Xenopus tropicalis: one gene and its partner. The protein of the gene in region 2 purifies or fractionates together with the protein of the main gene of each other region. This does not show direct contact. Links are inferred from orthologs where the notes say so. Each region holds a gene or a part of one and is shown on either strand. Other genes may lie near its edges.

Region 1 (4,143 bases), on a different chromosome or scaffold from region 2:
GAGTATGAATAGACTGCAGTAGGTGTTTGCTGAAATTCAGTAAGCGATGAAGAGATGATCCACTCTCAAGGTTCCTAAACCAGCTCTGAGGGAGACATTCAACCACCTACAGGAAAAGGCATGGTCAGATATAGTGAGGTCACTGCTAAAGAAAATACTGTTAAAAAATACTATCCTGTTTGAATGACAGTGGAAGACTGGGAAGTAAGGAAAGTCTGTTACTGTTAGTAGGAGGCACATGTTTAAGGCAATGGCCACACGTGGCCTGCAGATAAATGCAGGCCAAAAATCAGCCCCAGTGCTCTGAACAGCCTTTCCATGGGCCTGGACCCAGAGCCACTGTGTCGGCCTGAATGCAAGGGCACAAAATGGATTTTGGCACTGAAATGCAAACTCACCTGTTTCAGTGCTGAAATCCGATGTGTGTGTAGGCACATCCAAAAGCTCATCAGAGCGTAGGGGCTGATTCTTGCCCTGATATATGTGTTTCTTAAGCCTGATAGGTCCTAACCCTATGAACTTCCCTGCAGATCTGTGGTAAGTACAGAGGAACCCCGTGCTTATATAGTTGTAGGACTATAAGCGATCCTAATGGCTCGTTCCTGCAGAATGAAGTCACGGCAGAACAATTCTTATCTTGGCACAGTCCTATGCTTTTCAGCTTGGAGGGGGGCAAATTATCTCTCATATTGCACGTTCAGGGCTGAATTCTACTAAAAGGATGATGACATACTATGAAATCAAGGAACCTCTCAAGCTGGGGGCCATAAAAATCCCTCTGAGAGACAATAAGCTTGTAAACTTACTGCTGGACAACCATCTGTTCTGCTCCTATTGTTGTCGGTGGAAAGCTTTTTTCGGAATGGTTGGTCACCCACTATAGCAGAGATCTATCTCGGGCGATAGAACCGCTCCATGGGTTCTTACCCTTAGGTGCAAGGAAAGGATCTATAAATCAATGGCCAGAGGGGCTTTGTAAGATGCCATAGGCATTCACTATTTATAGGACTTCAACTTGATATGCAAAAACTTTTTTAAAGGAAAGTAAACCCTCAGAATTTTTTCCTTTGCTGATCTGTTTTGCAGTTCCGCCACTGGCCACCAACTCAAGAAAAAATACAGATCAGTGCTCTGTAATTTGTCTTGACTATTTATTGGAGTGGTGGGGGGCTGTTTGGGCCTCTGTGTACTTGAAATGCCAGGGCCTATTGTGAATCCCAGTCCGGATCTTTTCAGTTACTAAGGGCACTACGGTGAGTGGCTACTTACTCTCTTGCACTTCTTCACACTGTCTGGTCCTGGCTCTGCATTCAGAATTACTAGCAGTAGGTATCGATTAAGCAGCTTATCAAGGCTGAGCTCTTGCAGGGTCTCTTCTTGGAGGAATCCATCCCAGCAAAGAACGTTCTGGAACATCTGGGAAGAACAAGCATTAGAAATTAAATCAGAGCTCACTCCAGTAAAGTTACAAATGGATCAATTTGGCATGAAGTGATGTTCTTACTTCAAAGCTTCAGTATGATATTTTAGCATGTTCTGTATCAGAAGAGACATAACTTGAGTTCATATATGTAATATGACACACACACATACATATATATTTATTTATTATATACCCATATGTCCATCACTTACTTTCACAGCAGACCAGAAACGCCTTTCTTGGAATCTTGAATGCGGAGAGAATCTGTCTTCCAAAAGTCTATTAAGGAAATGTGGGAGGAAAAGAATTGAGAAATATATGAGTAACTGCACCATACTCCTAAAGTCCATAAATCACATAAATACCGAATAACAAGAAGGGGCAAAGTAAAGTTGAAAAATATTCTATTCTGCATTTGGTGCAAAATTTTGCACCAGTCCTAAATTGGACTGAAAAGAATCAACACAACAGAAACTTAATTTACAGAAGCTGTGCTGCAGAGATGATTCTAATGCAGACTACACTGGTTTTTATGCTGCCATATAACGTGAATCTGTTATTTTGTTAGAACTTTATTTTCTATATATAAGTACAGGATATTGTAAGTCAGTCACTAAGCTTAGATAAGTGAGACCAGCCCAGGGCATGTGCTGGGAATGAGCAGATGGGGGGATACTGGGGGCATCTTTGGGGGGGGGGGGGGGGGTTGACCTTACCTGCTAAAGGGCTGTGGTGGCCTTGGGCTGGTACAGAATCCCAAAATATGTTTAACATATTTAGACTAATTCTTTATCTCTAGACTAATTCTTTATGGAGCTTAGTTCCTCCTTTAATAAAAGACTAGGACTAATTAGCTAGTTCTCTCCCAAATAGTATAAAGGTACAGAAATGCCCATAAATCAGCTTCCAATACAAATACAAAGGGACAGTCTCAGTAAATGAGCCCCAGTCTCTCGGATAGATACCCTTCCCCCCCATGTGATTACTCCATGATTTTCTTCCCAGTTCATAACAGGCAGAGGGACAGATATTTTTCACAAGCAAAATTAAAAAAAAAAAAATTAAGAGAAAGGGACTGCATACTTTAAACTGATCTTGAAGGCGCTCTGTTCTCTATTTACCAGTCTGGCAAACAGAGGATGTTGGGCCCAGAGTTCAGGATGTCCTTCTAAGATAAGTCTTTGCTGTTTATGTTTAACAGGAAACACAACAGCTCTTATTTGTGAAGTCATCTTAAAGGACAACTAAAGTTTAAGCAGGCCATGGCCACCATAGCCATGTTAGAAGACCTTTGCCTTTGAAGATGCCACCAGTAGCTCCCCATATTTTATTCTGCTGCTTCCCAGTACACGGCTGTTCTCACTTACCTGAGCTTAGGGACCGACTCACAACATACATACATACACAATATGAAAGATACAATACAAGTCTAATTAGTAATCCAGAATCATGTTACATGGCAGCACAAAATCCAGTGTATTCTGCATCAGAATTTAATTATCATCCCTGTAGCATCAGCTTCTTTGGCAGATGGAACCTCATTGCCTGCTTGATGATTTCCAACAACCTCAAAGCTTTGCTTTGCAACAGCAGCCCAGACACATTGAGCATGTGCAGTGCCACTGACTCAAAAGATGGGGATCTGTGGAGAGCTTTGAGGGGTTCAAGGAACAGTAACACCAAAAAATAAAAAGCTTTAAAGTAATAAATATATAATGCACTGTTGCCCTGCACTGGTAAAACTGGTGTGTTTGCTACAGTAACACTACTATAATTTATATAATAAGCTGCTGTGTAGCCACGGGGGCAGCCATTCAAGCTGGAAAAAAGGCACAGGTTACATGGCAGATAACAGATAAGTTCTGTAGAAAACAATAGTGTTTTATCTGTTATCTGCTATGTGCCTGTGCCTTTTCTCCTTTGAATGGCTGCCTCCATGGCTACATAGCAGCTTATTTATATAAATTATAGTAGACTTTCTGAAGTAAACACACAACTTTTACCAGTGCAGGGCAGCAGCACATTATATTTTAGTTACTTTTATACACTTTCATTTTTTGGTGTTACTGTTCCTTTAAATCATTATTGTTAGAGCATGGCTGATTCACTATATAAAATACAGCATTTCAAGCCAACATGCATTTGCAGGTAGAACAGTGACGAAATGGTTACTCTCAAGGTGCAGATTTCCCTATTGTTTATAAATGTGGAGGAGCAGAGATGCACTTCTGGGTTTCCTATTTTATTGTATCGCATTTATTATTTAGCAATACTGCGGTAAAAGGCTGTGTATTTAGCAGTGACTAATGACCTACCTTTTTGGAAAGAGAGGAATAAACACATCATCTTCAATGGCTTTCTTCATTGTTGAAAGTAGACAATTTATCAGGCCCTTAAGTGTAATAAAAATCGATAAAGGGTAAAGAAAAACACTTTATAAATAACTGTATAGTTTTATTTACATCTTATATTGTATTTTTATAACCAGAATCAGATTCCCTTGACACTTCAGCTGAACTGCTGGTGGTGTAATGAAGCAGTGATTAGCATTGCGAACATTGGAGTTCTGGGTTTTGATTTCAGATGTTGCAGTACCTTTATAGCAGGGGATCTAAACTCATCTTGGAATGCTGAAGGCTGCCTGTCTGTGGGCAATAACAGTAGCAATTTAGCAGGGCACTCCCACTTACCTGCACTGCTTTACTGGACTCATTATGCTT
Region 2 (4,143 bases):
TAGGGGTTTTTGTAGATAACAAGTTGTCCAATTCCAGGCAGTGTCATTCTGTGGCTACTAAAGCAAATAAAGTGCTGTCTTGTATAAAAAAGGGCATTGACTCAAGGGATGAGAACATAATTTTGCCCGTTTATAGGTCCCTGGTAAGGCCTCACCTTGAGTATGCAGTGCAGTTTTGGGCTCCAGTCCTTAAGAGGGATATTAATGAGCTGGAGAGAGTGCAGAGACGTGCAACTAAACTGGTTAAGGGGATGGAAGATTTAAACTAGGAGGTGAGACTGGCGAGGTTGAGGTTGGTTTCTCTGGAAAAGAGTGCGCTTGCGAGGGGACATGATTACTCTGTACAAGTACATTAGAGGGGATTATAGGCAAATGGGGGATGTTCTTTTTTCCCATAAAAGCAATCAACGCACCAGAGGCCCCCCCTTTAGATTAGAGGAACGGAGCTTCCATTTGAAGCAGCGTAGGTGGTTTTTCACGGTGAGGGCAGTGAGGTTGTGGAATGCCCTTCCTAGAGATGTGGTAATGGCAGATTCTGTTAATGCCTTTAAGAGGGGCCTGGATGAGTTCTTGAACAATCAGAATATCCAAGGCTATTGTGATACTAATATCTACAGTTAGTACTAGTGGTTGTATTTATAGTTTATGTATGCGAGTGTATAGATTGGTAGGTGTGGGTTAGATGTGCTGGGTTTACTCGGATGGGTTGAACTTGATGGACACTGGTCTTTTTTCAACCCTATGTAACTATGTACAGACTAACTCTGGTAATGTTTCATTGCTGCTAGATACACTTTTAAAGGGGACAGATTGTGTTTCTCAGACGGCAGAAAACATCTATGACTACTATAAAAGGGAAACCCTATACAAGCCTTAGATTATATAACGTCGCTTGCATAGAGACACCCCTTTAATTGATAATATAAAAGCAAAATAATTTGCCTCCTTACAAACCTCTTGTCCAGTAAGAAAAAGCAGGAGATCTCCTTCCTCCTCTTCACACATGTGAATCTGAATCACTGTTCGAATGGCTGCCTCTAGGTAATCCCGCTCAGGCTCTGGAGTATAGAAGATTTCTACAGGGTGTGTTCGTCCAGGGATTGTTAAAAGAGGGCAGCTATCAAAATATACCTGGAATTTGCCAGCATCTAAAGTGGCACTCATAACTATAACCTGGGGGAGAAATAAGAAAAAAATATATAACCGACGCAAACAGCAAGTTAACAACATGTTCAACAAAACTTTAAAGGCTATTGACAAACCTATAAAAAAAAAAAAAAAAAAAACTAGGCAATCTTTACAGAATTGTAAGAATAATATTAGGGAAAATAAAATCAGTGAGGTATTTTCTTAAAACTTCACGGAGATACCTTTATTGACCCTGTAAAATTTACTGGCAAAAATATCAAGTGAAACATATTAAAGCCACATGCTTAAATTGATAATAAAGACAAAAGAAAGAATGTGATTAGTTTTCATTAAGCATACAAAATTACAATTTTTTGCAATATTACAGCCAATAGAGGAATACTTTGTTCATATTTAGCATGTCCCAAGACGAGACATTGGAGCACACTGCCCTATAATAGTTTGTTTGTAAAATCACTTCCAATAAGAGACAGATTAATATCTGGTGCTGTCATGGTATCTAAAAAAAAAAAAAACCTAAATAAAATCCTTATACCAAGTCCAAGTCTTAAAAACGTAATTACATTAACAGGGAAAAAGAATAAACCAGCTCTCTATAAATGATCAGCTACACTGAGAAGATTAGACTTCCTCATTCTGAAATACAACTAGGGGGCCTGAAAAGCCATGAAACACCTGAAAGAAAGATCAGACCTATCTGTTAGATAGCCTGATTACAAGAAAACAACACATTTTTGGTTACTGATTTTGGCCACATTGGTCAACTGGATAAACTGCAACAATGACACAGAATTTAAGCGAACTATCTTGCATTATTTACCCCTTTACAGGTGTTCTGTGGGGGATAGTACATTTTGTAGTGGCATTAGCAGAATATTCTCTGGAAATTCCCCATACAGCACGGCAATATAACAGAGGAATCCATTCATTCCCTGCCCTCATCTCACTAAAAAACTAGTCTGTCAAGTTAGCCCTAATCTAATGCATAAACAGGGACTTCTCTGTAGTAATTGTTTACAATCATGCTTGCAGTTTGGCTTCCTACACAACTTTGTATGCTCACAATCTGGATGAATATAGCTAAAGAGAATTGCAGGTGGAGATGCCAGACATTAAGGGCGAGGTTACACAAAATTTATATCCGCTTGTCTTAGCCCTGTGTTTTCTGGCCAGGCTGAGATAAGTGGATCCAATTGCCTACGCTCCTCTGTGTCTGCATTACAAATTATGGAAACTGCCTAAGTGGGCACACAGAATGGGGGTCAACTTGGGAAATGTCAGTTTTCACGTTTTTCAGGCCAATCTCCAATCCACCCCTCTTTTTTGTTTTTTTTGCTTTTAACAGTGGCACACAGAGAAGCGTAGGCAACCAAATCCACTTCTTGTAAAAAAAATGCAGGGAGAGAATCGGCTATCCACTTCTGTGACCTCGCCCTAAACACTAAATTAAATACAATTACATAAAACATATTAGGAAGGAACACTCACCTTTAAGTCATTCCTTTGTCTTACAACTTCCTTTAAAACACCCATTAGAATATCTGTTGCTAAGGTCCTTTCATGAGCTTCGTCAAGAATCACTACCCCATAGCGTTCCAACAATGGATCGTTCATAGCTTCCCGGAGTAACATACCGTCTGTCATGTACCTAAAGGGAAATAAACAGACAAATTAGAAACAAAGTTTTTAAAAAGCACTACAATTCAACTATAAGGCCTATGGCACACAAAACTTTGAGGGCCCTGGACCTGTCAGGTTGCGCAAAAACAATTTCTTTCCAATTACTTAATCTGTTCATTTTTTACTTAACTTACCCCCTATAAACAGGGTATTTTGTTTAAAATGAACTAACCCCTCTTTCCTAACCTGCAGCCTTTGAAATAAAAAGCTGCTCACTAAAAAAAAATTAAAAATTCAGACAACTTACTTCAAGATTGTTTTTGCACTGCTGCAGTCTTCAAACCTAATGGAATAACCAACTTCCTGACCCAACATGACATCCATTTCATCTGCAACTCTTTGAGCCACACTCATGGCAGCCACTCTTCTTGGCTGGGTACATGCAACGCCTCTTTTGGGACCAGGCAATGACCTCATGTAGTCGACACACCACTGTGGAATCTAAATAAATGATAAATGTTAGAGTGGATATGTCCCAGGCACTCACAAGAGAAAGTACATTACAAGAGTTTGATTATACCATCTCAAACATCAACATGTAAGTGTGTGGTGCCTGTTTATACAGAACACAGATTACTTAACAAGCAAAGAGCATTGATTTCCTGGGGAGGTGTCTGGCAATGCAGGAAAGCTGTGGTCCCATCTATAGGTGAGATGCTGGGATACAGTGTCAGAGTGGGCCAGCTGGGAACCATGAGCACCTTGAGGGCCCCACTGACTCAGTCGCACACCCTGGCACTCCTGCCCCACAACGGGTGCAAAAGCAACAAGGCATGCAGAGGGGTGGGCTCCGGAGACCCCCAATCCGACCCTGATAGGATAATATAGGAGAGCATCACAGTATTCACTAAAACTAAAACAATTAACATTTTCCTCTATGTTTTGATGATGGGATCCAGGTCTAATGCTCTTTCTTTCTGCCAACCCTAAAACAATCCCTGTGCCAGTCAGGATTTTGATGCTTGGGGGGCAGAGGAATGATGGTTATATGCTATTTCTATATTAATACAGTAGATGTTAAATCAATAGTTATATTATTTGTACCCTACTTTTATACCAAGTGTTGACTGACCACGCAAAAAACTTCTTGGGTTAACCTCTTCACTACCTTCTGCTATTTGACAAGCACTCAAGTCTTTGGCCTAAACTAAAACCTTGCTCTTATTCCTTAAAACAATCCCCTTATCCTATGCCACCTAGACTACTGCAAACTACATTTAGAGCACTAACAAAATATATGAAAATCTGACTAATAATGGGTTAATGCCCTACCCAATGTGAAGAACAGTACTGATTACTATACTATGTGTGCCC

The links.
Region 1: the proteins of dhx15 (region 2) and gcfc2 purify together in Homo sapiens (co-immunoprecipitation; 3 studies listed by BioGRID and IntAct, with this or other methods). This does not show direct contact. The link is inferred for Xenopus tropicalis from reciprocal best matches to the Homo sapiens genes DHX15 and GCFC2.

Annotation. Positions count from the first base shown.
Region 1 is NC_030681.2:145,834,857-145,838,999, forward strand, and holds part of gcfc2 (GC-rich sequence DNA-binding factor 2), read right to left. Parts: coding exon 4,114-4,143; intron 3,816-4,113; coding exon 3,739-3,815; intron 1,703-3,738; coding exon 1,636-1,702; intron 1,417-1,635; coding exon 1,270-1,416; intron 107-1,269; coding exon 1-106.
Region 2 is NC_030677.2:31,426,316-31,430,458, forward strand, and holds part of dhx15 (pre-mRNA-splicing factor ATP-dependent RNA helicase DHX15), read right to left. Parts: intron 3,271-4,143; coding exon 3,077-3,270; intron 2,798-3,076; coding exon 2,638-2,797; intron 1,174-2,637; coding exon 955-1,173; intron 1-954.